Linked DNA regions of Bombyx mori. The protein of the gene in region 2 interacts with the protein of the main gene of each other region in a pairwise test. Links are inferred from orthologs where the notes say so. Each region holds a gene or a part of one and is shown on either strand. Other genes may lie near its edges. The genes, in order: S-phase kinase-associated protein 2, S-phase kinase-associated protein, F-box/SPRY domain-containing protein 1 and beta-TrCP.

Region 1 (5,462 bases), on a different chromosome or scaffold from region 2:
TTAATAGAATAGTGTTATTACATGGTTGACTTGGTGGTGCAGTAAGTTAGAACGCCTGACTGTTTTCGTGGAGAATCATGTGTTTGATTACCACATTGGGCAAACATACTTGTAATAAACAATTTTGTTTGGTGTTTGTCAGGGTGTTTATTATCTATATATGTATATTTAAAAGTATGTCAGTCCTGTAATACAGGGAATCCTAAATTGGGGCTGGATGATAGTGCATGATTTGTTCTCAATTTCTATCCTATTATTAATATCAGGCATGCAAATAGATAGACTGATAGAGATACAGTTATCAATACTAGTACTTAGACTAGATCCTCTTTAAGCAGGATGGAAAGTATTCGTACTGTTATATCCCTAGCCTGTATAGACTAATGCTTACCAAACACCTTACTCATCATAAGCTCTCTCACAGTGATTTCATGAGAACATACCAGGCTCAGTTCGGGTCAGATATTCATTGAAGTGAGACGTTTACCAATTTTCCTCACTATTTCTAAATTCTTTTATTATAATTAATTATTCATTAAAAATATTGTGTAGTTTCGAATAAATCCTTTTTTTTTAAAAAGTTCGGCCTTCTCACTACTAACAGTACCCTGGACCATAGTCGTCGTTGAAGTCGTCGTGGCCTAACGGATAAGACGTCCGGTGCATTCGTGTTGAACGATGCATCGGTGTTCGAATCCCGCAGGAGGGTACCAATTGTTGTAATGAAATACGTACTGGACAAATGTTCACGATTGACTTCCACGGTGAAGGAATAACATCGTGTAATAAAAATCAAACCAGCAAAATTACAATTTGCGTAATTACTAGTGATAGGGCCTCTTGTGAGTCCACGCGGATAGGTATCACCACCCTGCCTATTTCTGCCGTGAAGCAGTAATGCGTTCCGGTTTGAAGGGCGGGACAGCCGTTGTAACTATACTGAGACCATAGAATTGATATCTCAAGGTGGGTGGCGCATTTACGTCGTAGATGTCTATGGGCTCCATTAACCACTTAATACCAGGTGGGCTGTGAGCTAGTCCACCCATTTAAGCAATAAAAAAAAATAAAAATAAAAACACAAAGATAGACAATTAACTTATGGATGAAACCCAAATAGCCTAAAATAATATTAATTTACCAAAGTAAGCATGAATGATTGTTGTTTTGAAGCATTCATATTTAACAAACCAGCAACCACCCCTGGCAAATATTTGAGGACATAGTTTCTGCACAAACCGATATTAAACTTATCAAAGTGTTATTTTGATGAGCAGCGAGACTTTATGGAAGACTTACCGGTGTGAACGCGAGGGCTCTTCGCCTTGGAAGGTCCCGGGCTTCGTTTTGTGATCGGAGAACATGAATTCGTATTTGGATTCACGTTTTCTATGTCCCGTTTTCGTTTTGTGCCTTTGTGGTGGTGCTGGAATCAAAATAAACTGTTGAATTTCCATTATCTCAATTTTTTATCTTTTTTTATTGCTTAGATGGGTGGACGAGCTCACAGCCCACCTGGTGTTAAGTGGTTACTGGAGCCCATAGACATCTACAACGTAAATGTGCCACCCACCTTGAGATACAAGTTCTAAGGTCTCAAGTATAGTTACAACAGCTGCCCCACCCTTCAAACCGAAACGCATTACTGCTTCACGGCAGAAATAGGCAGGGCGGTGGTACCCACCCGCGCGGACTCACAAGAGGTCCTACCACCAGTAAAATGGTAATGGTTAAACGAGCCTACTGTTACCGGGAGTTTTAAAATTAGACCTGCTCCTCATTGTAACTTGGCTGTGCAGGACTTCCATTAGCAAACAAAGCACTTACCACAAGGGTTGTGTCGCCAAACACAGACAGCGATACAAAAACATAAAACTCACCCCTCCACTGCTCGAACTCAGTTCACAGGATTGTTCATTATCATCAGGCTCAAGCAAACTAACCCCCATTTCTTGTAATACCTAAAAATAAAGTTTAAACTTTATTTATTCCCAAAATCATACAGTTCCCTTTAACATGAGACATTATTCTATCTATGGATTAAACATTAGTATTAAACAATTAGTTCTAATATGTAATTATTACTATGCAAACATTATAAGAATTGAAAAATATGTATTTCTAAGATTAATCAAACCTTTGTATTTCAGTACAGAAAAACAAAGTTATATCATATCTCCAAAACCCTTTGAAGAAACCTAGTATCCCATAGAGCACTTTGATGATCTATGCTCAGCTAGTCTGATGCAAATCAAAATTGATATCTTAATCTATGTTGATCGAATTTTAATCAAACATATTCCTTTTGTTGTGTAGAATAACATAGGATGCCCGTAAATCAGATCTTCTTCAATGAAAGCCTATAGGCTTTTTATGATTTAATATGGTACAGGATTATAAAAGACAATTCTCAAATGTTTCTTTAAACTACATTTAACCTTATATTTTTCAATGTCTATGCTTGAATGTGTGTTTGGACCACTCATGTATTAATCTAGTACCTCTAAATACAAATAGAAATTTAGTAATTGAGAAAAAATTACTAGAAACATAGCTTGTCCCGTTCCTTGTCTTTTTTAAAGCTTTTCTTGCTTTGATAGGTGAATCAAATCAGGGCCTACCTTGTGTTAAGTGCTTCCCAGAACCCTATGGGTTATTGATGTCTATAAATCAACAATGTCAATGCCACCACCTACCATGAGAGTAAGCTCTAAGTTTCAGTTCTATGGCTGCCCCACCCTTAAAAACCAAGTGCATTGCTGCTTCACATCAGAAATAGGCAGGGGCATGTTACCTACCAGTACAGGCTCACAATATGTCCTCCTATCACTAGTAAATATGTGCATAACATATAAAAATACATAATATTATTTGAAAGCATTACTTATAATAGTGATGACTTAAACAAAATTTGCATAACTGAGAAATGGTCCAGAATCTGTTTGTAATGTTGCTGTATGAGCATATATTCATACAGTCTTATTTGTTTGTGAATAATGGTCACCCGACTGCTTATATGGGACCTCGCAGGGTGGCAGTATCAACCATTGCTCACTACACGCCGGAGAACCCATAAAATCTATACATGAAAATGGGAGCATGTATACATATTTCGATCTCAGTTCATTTGCGTGTTTTGTGGCAAAACTATAAAATTACGCGTCCCAAACTCGATATGTATATTAATATTGGATTTAGGAGCTGTGAGAAACTCGAATGATAGTTAAAACACGATTGATATCAAATAAAAAGTTTTTAACTAGAACGGAAGAGGGCGGGAAAAAATTACTACATACCTCGTAATTCGTTCGTTTGTCCATCAAACTCCAACTTTTCCGCGTCGAATTACTTATTCTAAGTTTTTTCTTGCTGAAATAATATTCCAACTCTTTGAATAACCGTAAATATAGTAGTGTAAAAATAATAATTAGGGCGTGATTATTTCGCGCCATTCAACTTTACCGCTGAAAATCAGCTGTCATGTCAGATTGAATTCCATGACGATTTTTGCTAAAAATTCAAGTCTCACCTAGGACTTTCTGCATCGTCTGGTTTAACGGGTGAATTAACTTCATCTTCCAGACCACTAATGTTCATTTTCACTTAATTTTGTATTATAAATTTCCAAATATAGCTAGATAAAAAATTTGGCACACGCAACAGATAGCACTTTGAAGTCAAAATTAAACTAAAAAAAAAGGAATTCAGCTATAGACAAATATGACAAATTTTTTAAACGTACAAACTGACATTGACATTGGGCATTAATGTCACACTTGCTATTACTAAATCGAGGACTTCTTTGCTCATGATTGCCACTCAGATTGATTATTAAGCTTGCCGAAAAACAGATTTTTTTAAATTATTTATTATTATTATGAATTATTTATATTATACAATTTCTCTCTATTTATTTATATATTTAACTTGTCTTTAATTATTACTATTATTTGATATTTTTTCACACCATCGCAGCTACCACGCGATTTTTTTTCTTGAATCAAGGCATAAAATTTCTCGATTGACTTAACATATTTATACTTTGTTGATGACAAAATCTAATTATCCTTAAAGATTAAGGTCACCAATGACACATAGTTACACTATGACTTAATTCATTACGAGAAACGGATACGCGCTCTCGCTCTCTGCTGTTCTATCTCGAAGTAACCATTCAAACCAGCCTTGATCGACAGCTGTAAGCGCTTAAAGTTCAGAGCACATTAAATAAGGAATTCTTCGGTATTTTTATTTATTACATTGTCCCCGTTTTTATTAGACTAAACACGGTAGATAGTAAAACAAAACAATAAAACAATAAGATTAACTTGGAAACTATTTCTGGGTAGGTTTCACTTCTGGATTAAAAGTTATTTATTTCATTTTGTAAATATAGAAGTGTAAGGATAAATGAAAAAAAAATTTATCTTATCATGATTTACCTCCTGTTTTTACAACTTTAAGATCAAAATTCCAGCGCACTGAGTTTCACGCCAACTTTTTTTTTTATTGCTTAGATGGGGGACGAGCTCACAGCCCACCTGGTGTTAAGTGGTTACTGGAGCCCATAGACATCTACAACGTAAATGCGCCACCCACCTTGAGATAGCTTAGATGGGGGGACGAGCTCACAGCCCACCTGGTGTTAAGTGGTTACTGGAGCCCATAGACATCTACAACGTAAATGCGCCACCCACCTTGAGATATAAGTTCTAAAGTCTCAAGTATGTTACAGTTACAGCAGCTGCCCCACCCTTTAAACCAAAACGCAGTACTGCTTTAAGGCAGAAATAGGCAGGGTGGCGGTACCTACTCACACGGACTCACAAGAGGTCCTACCGCCAATTATTCTCTCAGTTCTCAGTGGATCGCGTTTCCGATCCAGTGGTAGATTTTGTGAAGCACTGCTCTTGCTAGGGCTAGTGTTAGCAAATTCGCCAGGTTAAAGCACCGCGAGCTCACCTAACTCGCCAGATGAATATGGTATGACCCCTCCAGGTTACTGGAATAGATAGGAAAAATAATAATCGATAATACTGAAAAAATCGAAGACATTAAATTTATTAGGTTCAACATATTATATACAAATGAAAATGAAATCATTCGAAAAACAACATTTTTTTAAATTGCACAATTTTGAAATAAAATCTGTTAAGGCGTCTGAAATCGAACTTTAATCGATTAACAAATTTAATCATATCGCATATCGTATCTGAACTGATTATGCCACACTATCCACAACTGTCAGTTCCAATCAAAACAACACAAAACACAAACAAAGAAGGTTGCATTCGGTGTTGATTCAGTCCGTTCTTTCTTTGTTTTCGCATTTTAAAAGCGAAGAAGCCCGGTTGAACACAGCGTATATTATTAAAAATACGTTTATAAGTAATTTTCTAGTACCACGACTTATTTCCGCGCGATGGCGTCGAGAAAACTGAACACAATCGAAGACTTGAGCG
Region 2 (4,399 bases):
ATATTTTTGATATTTGTATTTGTAATAGAGAGCTCAAGGTAAATGTAACACAATGAGAACATTATGTAAAAAAAAAAAACCAGTGGAATGAGCTATATTCCTTGGCACTAGACCAGGAAAATGCTAACAAAAAGAAGAAGGAATGTGTCTTTTTTTTTTTTTTCGGGTAGAGGGCCGAACCTCCTACGAGGTCCCCGCGCAAAAGGGGCGCGCGGGGTATGTGAGACTACGATCTGCATGGTGTTGTGAACAGACCGCGGGCCCAAGGATTTTAGGGCCCACCCACTAAACGACTCCCCTGCACTCTTACACCCGACGTCCGATCCCCTCCGAGGTCAGAACCCGGATGAGGTAGGGGCGTTACCGCGGTCAACACTACAACCAGACGGCGCGGCTAACCCCAAGGACGCCCAGCCGACGGAGCCTTCGAGGCGAATCGAAGGCTCTGAAACGTCGGCCGTCTCGGTACGGCAGCCCGTCGGGCCGCCCAGACGGTGCCGCTGGTGTCCCGGAATACCCCGCTGGACCAAAACCAGCCTGCCGGGTCGGGACGCGATACACCGTCGACCGGTCGCTCTATTTACTGCTATATTGTTCCTGCTGTACATCAAGGGAGGTAGAGAGAAGATAGCAACCTCATACATTGGATAGCATTGGAGTAACACGCACATTTAGTTACGAATTAAGGAAAATATTGCAGATGTCAAACCCAACATAAGTCTGATTTATTTTAACATACTCTGGACAGTGCTAATAGTGAAATTTAACATGGCTCAATACACCCTAAACAATCCTTAATTCCATAAATAGCTCATGAAGCTATTGTAAATAAAAGGAAAAAAGGTTGGATCAGAAAAAAAGTAATCATCTGACTATTACATGAAACCCCAAGTCAAACAAACTATGAGACCTAAACATTATGTTCTATGAAAAGGAGAGAATAAATAATTGATAATTATTATTAATTATTTTTTTTCATTTGTAATGATATTTTATTATTAAAATAATAATGATTGTAAACAATAAATAATTGCCAATAAGATTTTTTTCATTACAAATTTTATAGTTTACTTGCACCTCTTATCCATGACCACAAAAACTGTTAGATTTTGAAACTGAAATTATAAATTGATAATAATATACTCAAGATAAACTGTAAAAGTAGTTTTTTAATTATAAAAATTACAATCCAACAAAAAATAATCACCTTTAAAATTTTGTTTTACATAGCATACAATGTAGCACAATATAAATTAAATTGCTGGAACTCACTTCCAGTTTCTTTTGAAAGAGGCAGACGGACATTTCTGACTATGGGTTCATATACTAAGCTTTAAAAGTAATTTTAATGACAAATATCTAAGAGGAAAAAATTGTTTCATATATATTATTTTCATTTGTTATGCTGATGGTTTAATTCTATCTTAGCATCAGGAACTGACTAAGGGAATGTGGTTATCAAATACATACATATACAGTGAAAATCTATTATAACAACATCGAAGGGACTGCTCATATTCAGTCGTAACAACCAGTGATGTTTAATGTGTATCGTGCAAGTACAAACAAAGTACAAACAAATCGATAGTGAATTATTGGAAAAATATATTTACACAAAACGCAATTTTTCTTTGTTATTAATTTGTTTTTTTTCTTTGCAACATTTTGAAAGTTTCACGAATAACTCCACAAAGTTTTGGTGTGTCTTGTGTATAGATAAGTAACAAACTAACTGAAAAGATATGAAGAAGTGGGCTTTGACTCTACCGCATACACATTTTTGTTTCTAAGAATTAGAAAAGACCCTACACTAAACAAAATCCTATTGTTTTCTTTCCTGATTTTAATAGCCATTGAAGACAAATGTGGATACCTATTCAAATTGTTTACAATACAGCTTAGCCGGTCGTTCTAACAGATCTAATTCTCCGAAATATTAGTTAAATGTGGTCATTTTATTAGGTATGTCGGTATTAGCAATGTCGTATAAAGCAATGTTTTTAATAAGGCGGTCATATAGCATTCAGCCGGGACCTTTGTTCTAGGTTATTATAACCAGCATGTTGCTCAAAATGATGTCGCAGTAAACGGTTGTGACTGTATATTTATTTACTTTTTGTATTGACATTGATGGTGACAAACTTATTTTTGTGGTTTAACATTGCAATGGATACTGGCAATTTCTGGACACAATCAAGACTACCCACACAATTAGTTAAAAAATAAGCAGATGACAAAAATTTAAGTCAGTGATTTATGCTAATTATTTCTATTTCATAAAGTAAATTTTCCAATAAATATAATACAATTAAAGTTAAATGAAAAGTAATTTAAATGATAATATGAAAATTTAAATTTTATTGAAAATCACAATGACATGATGTACCTATTTTTATATAATTTACAACACAAACAAATTTACTTGGTTTAAATTAATTATTCTTTATTGCCATGGGAAAAATAGTTTAATGTTGCATACATAGTGATAATACATAAAGATGCTTGCAAATAGCATTTATTATGGTTTACTTTTCTTCACACCATTCATTCTCTTTACGAACCTGATCTTCTTCTGCAGCAGTGAAATCATTCTTAATGTTGAACGTTTTACGGATTTCTTCAGGAGTCTTTCCTTTGATCATGTTTGCTACAGTTTTACATGTGACATCTAATAAACCCTTGATGTCCAAATAATTTGCAGCTAATATTAATTCAAAGAGTGTGCCTTGGTCAACTTTCAAAAAATCAGCATCCCATGATGATATGTCATCAGTCCTCTTTTCCTTGTTTTCGTCATCTTCTGGTAGCGGAGGATCGTCTTTATGATAAGTAGCCCACTGAATAACTTTTTTGAGTATTGCAGAATTGACATTAGGTAAAGGTACAACTTCCTCTTCATCCTCTTCCATGCCTAAGTCTTCTAGCATAGTTTTGATAGTTACGGAGCATTTGGCGATTTCAACATCAACAACGAAGACCTCGTTGTCTGATGATTGCAACTTAATATTTGGCATCTAGAACAAAAGAGCGGTGGGAACGTAAATCATAAAACGACGGCTGAGAATAAGACGCCATTTTCCAATTTATAAATAGCGAAGTATTTACCTTGTTTTTTCAAGTATTTGAATGTTCACAATTAAGTGAAATTTATTTATCTTCAAACGAAAATGCCCTTATGTTCTGGAGATTTTTCCTTAAACCCAAACAGTGAATCAATGAGTGAACGAATGAATAAAATCATTAATCAATTTTGTTTTTTTTTCTGCTTTCGTTTAAATTTTTCTAAGGGATTTTATGACCTGGTAACTAAGACCTTTAGGTCATGTCTTTTTTTAATTTATATTCAGATTTTTATAAATTTTTTATTATGGAGTGAAATGAAATGAAGATGATTAATTTGAGACATTAATCAACTGGGATGAAATTAAATGAAATGAGTTGATATGGTATGAAATATAATCTCAGTAAAATGGTGGTTATTTACTAAGATTTTTTCAGTGGACTTTTTGGAGGAACTCGAGAAGTTACGTCCAGCAGCTTTGTTTCATTTTCCCACTTTTGTGCACTTTCACAGATATTAAACATTTAATAAACCACCGTTATTACACATTTAAACCTGAAGAAACACTAAATAGACAAAATAAAACAAATCACACAACTTCACTCCTCGCGCTCCCGCCAAAAGTACCTCCAACACCAATTGTTTTTTAAGGGATTTTATGACCTCATAACTAAGACCTTTAAGTCATGTCTTATTTTAATTTATATTCTTATTTTTATGAAAAATGATAATATGGAGATAAATGAAATGAAATGAAGATGATTAATTTGAGAAATTAATCAACTTAGATGAAATTAAATGAAATTTGATGATATGGGATGAAATATGATCTCAGTAAAATGGTGGTCATTTACTGAGATTTTTTCAGTAGACTTTTTAGAGGAACCCGAGAACTTACGTCCAGCAGCTTTGTTTCATTTTCCCACTTTTGTGCACTTTCACAGATATTAAACAGTTAATAAGCCACCGTTATTACATATTTAAACCTGAAGAAACACTAAATAGACAAAATAAAACAAATCACACCACTTCACTCCTCGCGTTCCCGCCAAAAAGTCCCTCCAACACCAACATTCATTTCCCACCATAGATACACACTTAGTTTCCCACACAACTAAAAAAAAAAAGAAACTTGTGAATGGAGTAAAGAAGAAATCTAATATATAAAATTCTCGTGTCACAGTTTTCGTTGCCATACTCCTCCGAAACGGCTTGACCGATTTTGATGAAATTTTTTGTGCTTATCCGGTATCTATGAGAATCGGCCAACATATATTTTTCATCCCCCTAAATGTTAGGGGTAGTCCACCCCTAAATTTTTATTTTTATTTTTTAGAC
Region 3 (5,476 bases), on a different chromosome or scaffold from region 2:
TGGTACTCTTAGCCATACCAATTCTCCGGCGCACCTTCCTTTCGCACGAGCCATTGTTACTGGTTGGAACCCAGGTAATTAAAGTTGTCCACTATTTCTAGGTCTAATGCGCCAGTGAGTTCCAATTTTCCAGACCTATTCACCACCATGACTTTGGTTATAAACCTGTTTATGGAAAGTCCCATCTCCTTGCTTAACAATAACAAAACAAAAGAACAAAAACTGACTGTCGTTAAATGTACGACAAATTAGTGATAAAATTCTTAATCAAGTGGTACTAATTAGTTCAAACTATACTGCATTTTGGTTAATAATAATAACAGATTCCATCGTTTATTTATTACTACAATATTTAAGGATAACATATACAAGAATAAAAAAGAAAAAACAAGATGATATCTCTATGATTTATATAATGAATACCTACATAACATAATATAATCTGTAAGAAATAAATAATATTGACAAATGTAAAATAGAAAATTGCACATTTTAAGTAGCATAAAACAAAAACAGAATAATTTCATATCAAATACTATTAAGAATACAAACCAAGATGTTTTCCAGAATGTCATTATATCACAATTATTTGACTAGATACCAGTTACAATTAAGTAGATTTTCTATCAGCCATCTAGCGGAGGACCTACATACACCATAGAAACTTCTGTATTTCCATACACTGCTGATATAGTTGGATAAAGTCTTTTATTGGGTAGACCTGAAAAGTGAAATTTTATAATATAATAAACAGCTGTTCATGTACATACATAATCTATGTACTAAAAATAGTTTTTGATCATATTTTAAAATAATAATTTGTAGTCAAATTGATTTTTATTTCCTTCTTGTTTTTTATTGCTTAAGATGGAAGGGACGAGCTCACAGCCCACCTGGTGTTAAGTGGTTACCGGAGCCCATAGACATCTACAACATAAATGCGCCACCCACCTTGAGATATTAGTTCTAAGATCTCAGTATAGTTACTGCCCCGTCCTTCAAACTGAAACACATTACTGCTTCACGGCAGAAATAGGCAGGACAGTGGTACCTACCCGCGCTGACTCACAAGAGGTCCTACCACCAGTAAGTACCTACCACTTTTTAAAATACAACAATCTGTTATGATTGTAATAATAATATATTGGTATCAAACTAAAATTAATGTCTAATGACATAACTATAACATGATTTTGATCACTCTCTCTTGACTTTATTATACATATGTATTATTAAATTTTTATTTCATTACCACGGAATGCAACACCTAAAAATTCATAATTCCTTTCAAATGAGAGGGTGTGACGATCACAATCAAGTATCACTCTTATTCTTTCACCAACCTGGAAGATATTTATTAGATTTAACCAAATCATAGAAACACAACAGTAGTCAGCTATATAATACATTACATAAATAAACCCCATTAAATCCAAAACATTCATTAATATCGTTTTACATACATCTATTCTTGGTTTACACATTAACAGTCAGAATGATACTACTTTTGTGGATATTTCTGCTGAGAAGCAGTGATGTCATAATCAGATAGATTTTTACACTGTAACTACTTAAAGCTACAGAGGTTATCTTCCATATCTATTCTAATAAAACAGAGATATGCCTTTTCACTTTAGTGTGTTCATAAATCATCATCATCATTCCTTCCTATTACCCTCTGCTGGGGTGTAGGGCTCGAATCAATTTTTTCCATTTACATCAGTCTTGGGCAGTCTGTTCTAGCTCCTCCCACGTCATGCCCAAGACCCCTAGCTCCTGCTCCTAAATATTATATTATATTGCTCCTGTTCATAAATAGTCAAAATAATTGTTTGCTGGACAAATTATATTCTATAAAATATTCTAATCTACAAGGTCACTAGTTTGAGGGTCAGGAACACAAAAGTGGCTGTTATTGCCTATTATAGTCATATCTACTTCTATTAGATATTGTTTAGTTCAAAACATAGAAAAAAAATTATGTGTAAAACTTCAATTATTTATAAAATAATAGATCATAATTTTTAGCAACATTTACTAGCAAGATAAAATCATTGGAACGATTTTTTAATAAACAGTGAGGTTATTTGCTATAATACAAAGGGAGGACAAAACCTTCAAATGAGACCCTAATAGACCCTATGCATTAACTGGTTTTTATTTCTGTTGAATTACATAGTGTATTTAATTTGAAAAATGTAATTAAATTTAAATTAATCAATAATTTGTATGCTTTAATGTTAAGGAGCTATTTTTTGTATGTTATAAATAGAATAAAAGCATTACTTGATATTTGGGGCAGTTATTTAACAATGGATAGTGTCCTTGAGTATCACCATTGTGTAATAAATGATTATCAACAAGATTCCAGCCCCAACTCAGTTCATCTGAACCAAGCAATCCTACATATCCTTGACATTGCAATGGTGCATCTCTAGTTGACACCCCTATGACAGCTACTGTGCCAAGGGGACCTTCCCATATAATTTCCCAAGCATGACGACCACGATAAAATCCAACCTTTCCTCTACAAGCATCTGTACTCTGTGCTACAGGATTTCTGAAATTAATGTATTGGACTTAGTTTCTTGAAATGACACCATTATCAAATTTTCATACATATACTCTAAAGAGCATTTAAAATTCATTACCTGTGTAAAGTAAATCCATTTGGTTTGATATAAATGTTTCTCGAACAATCATACGGATTCCAAGCATGGCAATATGCTCTAAGTTTTTCTCTATAAGTTCTGAGGCACGAAAGTAAATCAGATTTCATCATTTCTTCTGTTAATCTTCTATAACAATGATATCTCCACACTTCATTATTCTCATCACTGAGCATTCTATACCAAGTCTTACATACCAACGCACAGTTTCGAATATCTCTCAATCTTAGATACAAAAAAATAAGTTCCAAAATATGGTCAGGTATGATTTCAGCAAAAGCATATTTTTTGTATCTATGAATTTGACGCATCTTATTGTAGAAATAAGCATTTAATTTTAAATGCACAATTTTGGTAGTTATTTAATACCTTTTTAGAAAGATCTATGGTTACAGCGGGTTAGTGATTGAATTTTAATATTATTGCTTTTGATGAAATTTATTGGAAATTCTGAGTTTCAGGTTAAGTTGTTTTATTTTGTTTTGTCCACTTTGGACTTTTGTTACAAAAGGGACAGGTCTCAAACAGCCAGTCATCAAGTATGGAAAAATAATATTTAAAACGAGCTTCACAATTTCTAAACAACGCTATCGAATCAGCAGACAATATCTAAAGATTAACACTTTAATGATAACATAGTAAAACACGATTAGTTGAAAATTTGTTGTTTTTATTGTTAATATATGAATGTTCTCCTACGTACTTATCAGGCTCAGGACTGCCTGAAATGAATATTAATACTTACCAGAAAATAAGAAGATTTTATTTCATTTGGGAAGATGAATAATGGAGTAAAAACTACTTGAGCACTACTGTGACATGAAAATCGGTGTAACGAAAAAGCGACACTGAAAAAGGCAAAAAGATATGTCTAAAGGATTATTAGCCTGCGAGAGAATAACACGGAATAATTCTGAAAGTTTTACTTTTACTTCGTTTTACTGCACACATGCTCTTTAATATTAGTTAGTTATTCATATAGTTTGCGGTAGGCAGCGGCTTGGCTCTGCCCCTGGCATTGCTGAAGTCGAAGAAGTAACCACTCACCATCAGGTGGGCCGTATGCTCGTCTGCCTACAAGGGCAATAAAAAAAAAACATATTCATAGTTTCTGTAGTTAATTGTTTGTCACGTTATGATTTTTTAAATACATTAATTTCCCCACTGACCCATTAAACCCGAATTAAATGTTATATTCTGCCAATTTAGGATTTCTTCAGATTTTATAGTGGTAACTTAACACATCTTACACCAAGTCGTCATTGTCTGCCTTTAAAAAAATGTTATGAACCGCTTAGGTTTCCTACTTCAGTGGAACCGCTTAGTGGAGAAGATTTTTGAAACTTTTTTTTTAATTGATAGATGGGTCAAAGATCTCACGGCTCAATTGGTGTGGGTGGTGGTACTGACCCATGCGCACTCACAAGACGACCTACCACCAGTAACTACGCAAATTATATTTTTTCAAGTTTGATTTTTATTACGCGATGTTATTTTTTCACCATGGAAGTCAATCGTGTTTTTTTTTTAAATACATATTTCATTGGAAATTGTTTTGGAATGTCCCCACCTGTGTGTGGGATTGGATCACCAATGCATCGCTACACACGAATGCACCGGACATCTTATCCTTTAGGCCACGACGACGACATACAAATGTACACAAGTTTAGGAAAATATTTCAAGTCGTATGACCTACTTCAGGTTTTTCTAAATTCGTCATTGAAATTTGAATAAATTCCCCCCATTGCACTGTTTTCAAATCGGCATGGGCAGTTGGCGGCTCTTTGCGTGTGCGTACCAGGCTCACCATAAACCGGGAGGAGTGGCGATTGCTCACGAAACGCATAACATCTACCCACAGTAATGATGCTGAATGACGACCACGACCGCTCTGACAAGAGTGATACGACAAAAGACAAGGATATTGAAAGGTTACTTTTTCGTTAATTTCATATGATGTTATGATAACGTTACGTTAATTTCATATGATGATAAAAAATGGCGAGCTTAACTCAACAATTGAGTTTTCTACCAGCTAACCGTTCTTAACGAAGAAAAGCTTTAAATGAGTGAATTTATGTGATTATGCTCCATTTTACATTTTGTCTAACAGATACGGTTTCATTCATTTTATTTTAAATACTTATTCAATGGGCTAGGTGTCTTTTGCCACCCAGTGGAATATTGTATCAAAAAACAATCAACTATAAATTTTAGTAGACTAACACCGGTCACTCACATGCGCACGAATACGCAAACCCACAAGTGTAGGACGACATTTGCGAATGATTATGCAAAGTTTTCGCTGCATTCGTGGTTTTCCAAGCTGTATCGGTTTTTTAAGAGACATCAAAGCGCGCGAGCCTCGAACCTTCGCGTAGTCTCCCACACATTCGCTTGCCCAGTTGCGCCGACGATTGCGAAGGTAACGGACGTATACTATACGCCATTTTCATAGTTCGTGACGTCTACTGTGTAGCGTATCTTCATCAAAAGAAATCCCATAAAAACAGCATGGCTGTTAATGATGTCTGGGAAAGAATTAAAAACTCTTTCTCTTCAATGTTCTATTGACGAATTAAAAAGGAGGAGAAATTCGTGAGACATTCGTAAACAAGTGTAGGAGGAAGCGCAAACGGGTTCGCAAATTGATTATGCGAACCCATTTGCACAGCCGCTAGGTTTGCGAATGAATGTTTGACGGCCCTTCACATGCGCACAAACATTCGTACAATGTACGAATATTTGCGCGCATGTCAGTGGCCGGCATTAGACAACAGTTTCAAGTTTTTACATAGATGAGC
Region 4 (4,845 bases), on a different chromosome or scaffold from region 2:
TTACTAGTTCTTTTGATATTCATTTCTGCTATTCGGTGATAGATGACGTTACTCTTACCGGCGTAACAATAGTTTAACCTCTTCTTTTTAATTTCACCGGCTGTATACCGTATCCATTATGGCCAAGTCGTATCTTTGTAAATAGCAAATATACGACTGATCTTATACCTTTAAACGAGCAATTCTTGTATATATATAACCAGAATCTCGGAAACGGCTCCAATGATTTTCATAAAATTTAGTATACAGGGGATTTCGGGGGCGATAAATCGATTACGATTTATTTTCAGAAAATGTTGTTTTATTCGTGTTTTAAATAATCAACTTTATCGATAATTAACTTTATGAATCTTCCCGACATCTATTGGTGAATTTATTGCTTTAAAGACACAACAAGATGGCGTTATAAAAAAAAAAGCCGGTCATCATCTAGTATTGTTAATACACGCTCGTTTTCAGAAAAAGGCCTGGACCACGTCGCAGAGAACATACTGTCGTACCTGGACGCGAGCTCTCTATGTGCGGCCGAGTTGGTTTGCCGCGAGTGGTTGAGGGTGATATCGGAAGGGATGCTGTGGAAGAAGCTCATCGAGAGGAAGGTCCGTACGGATTCGCTGTGGCGCGGCCTCGCCGAGCGGAGGGGATGGTGAGTTGGCTCCTTGTGTTCATGTTGTCCTGGTACATTGACATTTTTTTTTATATAGCCGGATGGTGAGTTGGCTCCTTGTGTTCATGTTGTCCTGGTACATTGACATTTTTTTTATATAGCCGGATGGTGAGTTGGCTCCTTGTGTTCATGTTGTCCTGGTACATTGACATTTTTTTTATATAGCCGGATGGTGAGTTGGCTCCTTGTGTTCATGTTGTCCTGGTACATTGACATTTTTTTTTATATAGCCGGATGGTGATTTGGCTCCTTGTGTTCATGTTGTTCTGGTACATTGTCATTTTTTTTATATAGCCGGATGGTGAGTTAGCTCCTTGTTTCATGTTGTCCTGGTATATTGTCATCATTGTTTTTTATAGCCTTTATCCATGATGACCTTTACTGGAGCTCATAGACATCTACTACGTAAATGCGCCACCCACCTTGAGATATAAGTTCTAAGGTCTCAGTATAGTTACAACGGCTGCCCGACCCTTCAAACCGAAACGCGTTACTGCTTCACGGCAGAAACAGGCAAGGCGGTGGTACCTACCCGTGCGGACTCACAAGAGGTCCTATCACCAGTAATTACGCAAATTATAATTTTGCGGGTTTGATTTTTATTACACGATGCTATTCCTTCACCGTGGAAGTCAATCGTGAACATTTGTGAAGTACGTATTTCATTAGAAAAATTGGTACCCGCCTGCGGGATTCGAACACCGGTGCATCGCTTCAACACGAATGCACCGGACGTCTTATCCTTTAGGCCACGACTTACACTTTTTGGTTTCTTCCATCCGATTGATATTATGTGAGAGTCCTCGGGAATGAGTCGTGTGAGCAACTCATGACGTATCTGCTTCCCCTCCCCAGGATACAGTACCTGTTCAAACCGAAGCCTGGCTGCCAACATCCGTCACACTCATTCTACAGACAACTATATCCCAAGATAATAAAGGACATACAATCTATAGAGGACAATTGGAGAATGGGAAAACATAATTTACAGGTAAAAATTATTTTGCTTTATTTATTTATTTCTTACACTTCATGTAAAATTTACATTGGCGGACTTAATGCCTAAGGCATTCTCTACCAGTCAACCAAAGGTAGTGCAGAGTAAATAGTGGTAGGTGCAATGAAATCTATATATTAATACGTGAAGCAGAAACTTTGTATCCTTTTTACGAAAATTGCGCGGACGGAGGAATATGAAATTTTCCACACTTATAGAGAATATAGAGAAGCAGTGCACAATTCTCATATTTTTTAAGATAATGCATAAAAGATACATTAAATCAACAAAGAAAACATTACACACATTCCGAATCACCATTTCATTTATTCACATTTTTTTCATTTCTGTTACAGAGGATAAACTGCAGATCGGAGAATTCCAAAGGCGTATATTGCTTACAGTACGACGACAATAAGATAGTATCGGGCCTTAGAGATAACACAATAAAAATATGGGACAGAAAGACACTGCAGTGCGTCAGAGTGAGTATGGAAATAAATAACAAACCAATTGAGGACCTCAACTGGATTTATACTCAGTGGAGGACGTGGTTACTGAAGTCTATATACGTTTTTTTTAAGGGATTTTATGACCTGGTAACTAAGACCTTTAGGTCAAGTCTTATTTTAATTTTAATGATAACTTTTTTATATGAAAAATGATAATATGGATTGAAATGAAATGAAGAAGATTAATTTGTGATCAACTGGGATGAAATTCAATAAAATGATATGGGATGATTTATAGTCTTAGTAAAATGGTGGTCATTTACTGAAATTTTTTTAGTGGACTTTTTGGGAGGATCCCGAGAAGTTGCGTCCAGCAACTTTGTTTTATTTTCCCACATTTGTGCACTTTCACAGATATACTAAACAGTTAATAAACCACCATTATTACACATTTAAACCTGAAGAAACACTAAATAAACAAAATAAAACAAATCACACAACTTCATTCCTCGCGTTCCCGCCAAAAAGTCGTCTATATACAACATAAACGTTGTCAGCTCAACTCGACGCATCAAGATTTCTAAGCCTCAGTTTTTATAGTACAACACCAGCTCGATACTCATCAAACCGAAACGCATTACTGCTTCACGGCAGAAATAGTCAAGGTGGTGGCACCTACCCGTGCGGACTCACAAAAGGTCCTATCACCAGTAATTATGCGAATTATAATTTTTCATTATACGATGTTATTCCTTCATCGTGGAAGTCAATCGTGAACATTTGTCAAGTACGTATTTCATTAGAAAAATTGGTACCCGCCTGCGGGATTCGAACACCGGTGCATCGCTACATACGAATGCACCGGACGTCTTATCCTTTAGGACACTACTGGTGGTAGGGCTAGCTGTGAGTCCGTATTTCTGCCGTGAAGCAGTAATGTGTTTCGCTTTGATAAGTGAGGTAGCCGTTGTACTGTATAAACGGAGACTTTAGAACTCATATCTTTAGGTGGGTGGCGGCTTTTAAGTTGTAGATGTCTATAGGCTCCGGTAACCACTTACTTACCGGCTGTGAGCTCGTCTACTCATCTATCCCTTTCATCTCTAAAAATAATTTCTTACTACATCTTATGTCTTCGATCCTTCCAGGAGCTGCAAGGTCACACGGGGTCGGTTCTGTGCCTGCAGTACGACGAGCGCGCCATCATATCCGGCTCGTCGGACTCCACCGTGCGCGTGTGGGACGTGTCCACGGGCGCCATGCTCAACACGCTCATCCACCACTGCGAGGCGGTGCTGCACCTGCGCTTCTGCAACGGGATGATGGTCACTTGCAGCAAGGTGAGCCTGACGCTTGGTCCCCTTAGTGCCGAAGCCTAACGGGGTCTGACTTGAAGCCATTTTAAGCTATTGCATAGCTTTTATCGCGGGCCTTGAGCGCGGCGACCGAATCATGAAATTCCGTAACGAAAAAAACCTAACACCCCCCAGTCCGCCTACCATGTAGCTCGCGTTCAACACATTCACACGTGGCGCTTGTGTCGTGTTTGTGAATAAGCGCGCGGCGTGACATCGCACTGCATGCGCATCATGAAAAGTCTGCCCATCTCTCCCTCGCGCGGTCTTGCTTATGAGTGTGAAGGGGACAGTTAAGGTTTTGCTTTTGTTAATGTTTATAAATATAGCGTAGTCTTGTTTTATTATTGTTTTAATATTAAATTATCATTGTCTAATTATAATTGCATAAGTTGATAAAAAATGCTACGCAATAGATTTACCGCGGCAGTCCCCGAGTGCCACACTGTTTTTTTTTTTTTAATTAATAAATTGTTATTATAAAGGGTGTGTTTTTGCGGCTTTCAGGATCGTTCGATAGCCGTGTGGGATATGACGTCGACGACGGAGATAATGCTGAGGCGAGTGCTGGTGGGACACAGGGCCGCTGTCAATGTCGTTGACTTTGACGAGAAATATATTGTCAGTGCGTCCGGTGATAGAACTATAAAAGTACGTATTGTTACAACATCACTCACACGTCATTGCGGATCCTCCCGATCCATTAACGGTAACTTTTAGGTACCAAAAGCATCTCAAGGGTTTGGAGAGTAAATTAACCATCAGACACAGCCCACTGAGTTTCTCGCCGAATTTTCTCAGTGGGTCGCATTTCCGTCCATGGGCGCTGTCTACTAGTTAACAAATGATGTATGTTTGTTTATGTGTACGTGTATGTATGTACGTATGTAATGTTTTTGTTTTCGTTCGTGGCGTCGTGCAGGTGTGGAACACGTCGTCGTGCGAGTTCGTGCGCACGCTGAACGGGCACAAGCGCGGGATCGCGTGCCTGCAGTACCGGGACCGGCTCGTCGTGTCGGGGTCCTCGGACAACACCATCCGGCTGTGGGACATCGAGTGCGGCTCGTGCATCCGGGTGCTCGAGGGGCACGAGGAGCTCGTGCGCTGCATACGGTCAGTCAGTCAGACAGCGAGGACTTCGCTTCGGAAACATTATTGAAGTGAAACTTCTTTAGGATCGTTGTGATTTCAAACTGGATGAAACGAAATGCAAAAAAAAAACGTATGGCACTCGGGAACTGCCGCGGTATAGCTATCGCATAGCATTTTTTATCAACTTATGCCATTATAATTAGACAATGATAATTTAATATTAAAAGAATAATAAAACAAGACCACGCTATATTTATAAACATTAACAAAAGCAAAACATTA

The links.
Region 1: the proteins of S-phase kinase-associated protein (region 2) and S-phase kinase-associated protein 2 interact in a two-hybrid assay, tested with the Drosophila melanogaster proteins (2 studies listed by BioGRID). The link is inferred for Bombyx mori from reciprocal best matches to the Drosophila melanogaster genes SkpA and Skp2.
Region 3: the proteins of S-phase kinase-associated protein (region 2) and F-box/SPRY domain-containing protein 1 interact in a two-hybrid assay, tested with the Drosophila melanogaster proteins (2 studies listed by BioGRID). The link is inferred for Bombyx mori from reciprocal best matches to the Drosophila melanogaster genes SkpA and Fsn.
Region 4: the proteins of S-phase kinase-associated protein (region 2) and beta-TrCP interact in a two-hybrid assay, tested with the Drosophila melanogaster proteins (3 studies listed by BioGRID). The link is inferred for Bombyx mori from reciprocal best matches to the Drosophila melanogaster genes SkpA and slmb.

The regions. Positions count from the first base shown.
Region 1 is NC_085117.1:567,684-573,145, forward strand, and holds the start of S-phase kinase-associated protein 2, read right to left. Parts: upstream 3,709-5,462; 5' UTR 3,598-3,708; coding exon 3,530-3,597; intron 3,370-3,529; coding exon 3,297-3,369; intron 1,962-3,296; coding exon 1,881-1,961; intron 1,427-1,880; coding exon 1,300-1,426; intron 1-1,299. Other genes in the region: BCL2/adenovirus E1B 19 kDa protein-interacting protein 3, read left to right, coding at 5,423-5,462.
Region 2 is NC_085119.1:7,149,966-7,154,364, reverse strand, and holds S-phase kinase-associated protein, read right to left. Parts: upstream 3,253-4,399; 5' UTR 3,106-3,252; intron 3,015-3,105; coding exon 2,526-3,014; 3' UTR 1,846-2,525; downstream 1-1,845.
Region 3 is NC_085110.1:9,214,507-9,219,982, forward strand, and holds F-box/SPRY domain-containing protein 1, read right to left. Parts: upstream 3,964-5,476; 5' UTR 2,981-3,963; coding exon 2,652-2,980; intron 2,561-2,651; coding exon 2,287-2,560; intron 1,344-2,286; coding exon 1,253-1,343; intron 722-1,252; coding exon 627-721; 3' UTR 394-626; downstream 1-393. UniProt on the Drosophila melanogaster protein: Required in the presynaptic motoneuron to down-regulate the levels of wnd and restrain synaptic terminal growth at the neuromuscular junction (NMJ). Negatively regulates the localization of vas to the posterior pole of the oocyte.
Region 4 is NC_085130.1:17,505,313-17,510,157, reverse strand, and holds part of beta-TrCP, read left to right. Parts: intron 1-459; coding exon 460-646; intron 647-1,522; coding exon 1,523-1,658; intron 1,659-2,020; coding exon 2,021-2,149; intron 2,150-3,264; coding exon 3,265-3,456; intron 3,457-3,978; coding exon 3,979-4,122; intron 4,123-4,393; coding exon 4,394-4,584; intron 4,585-4,845.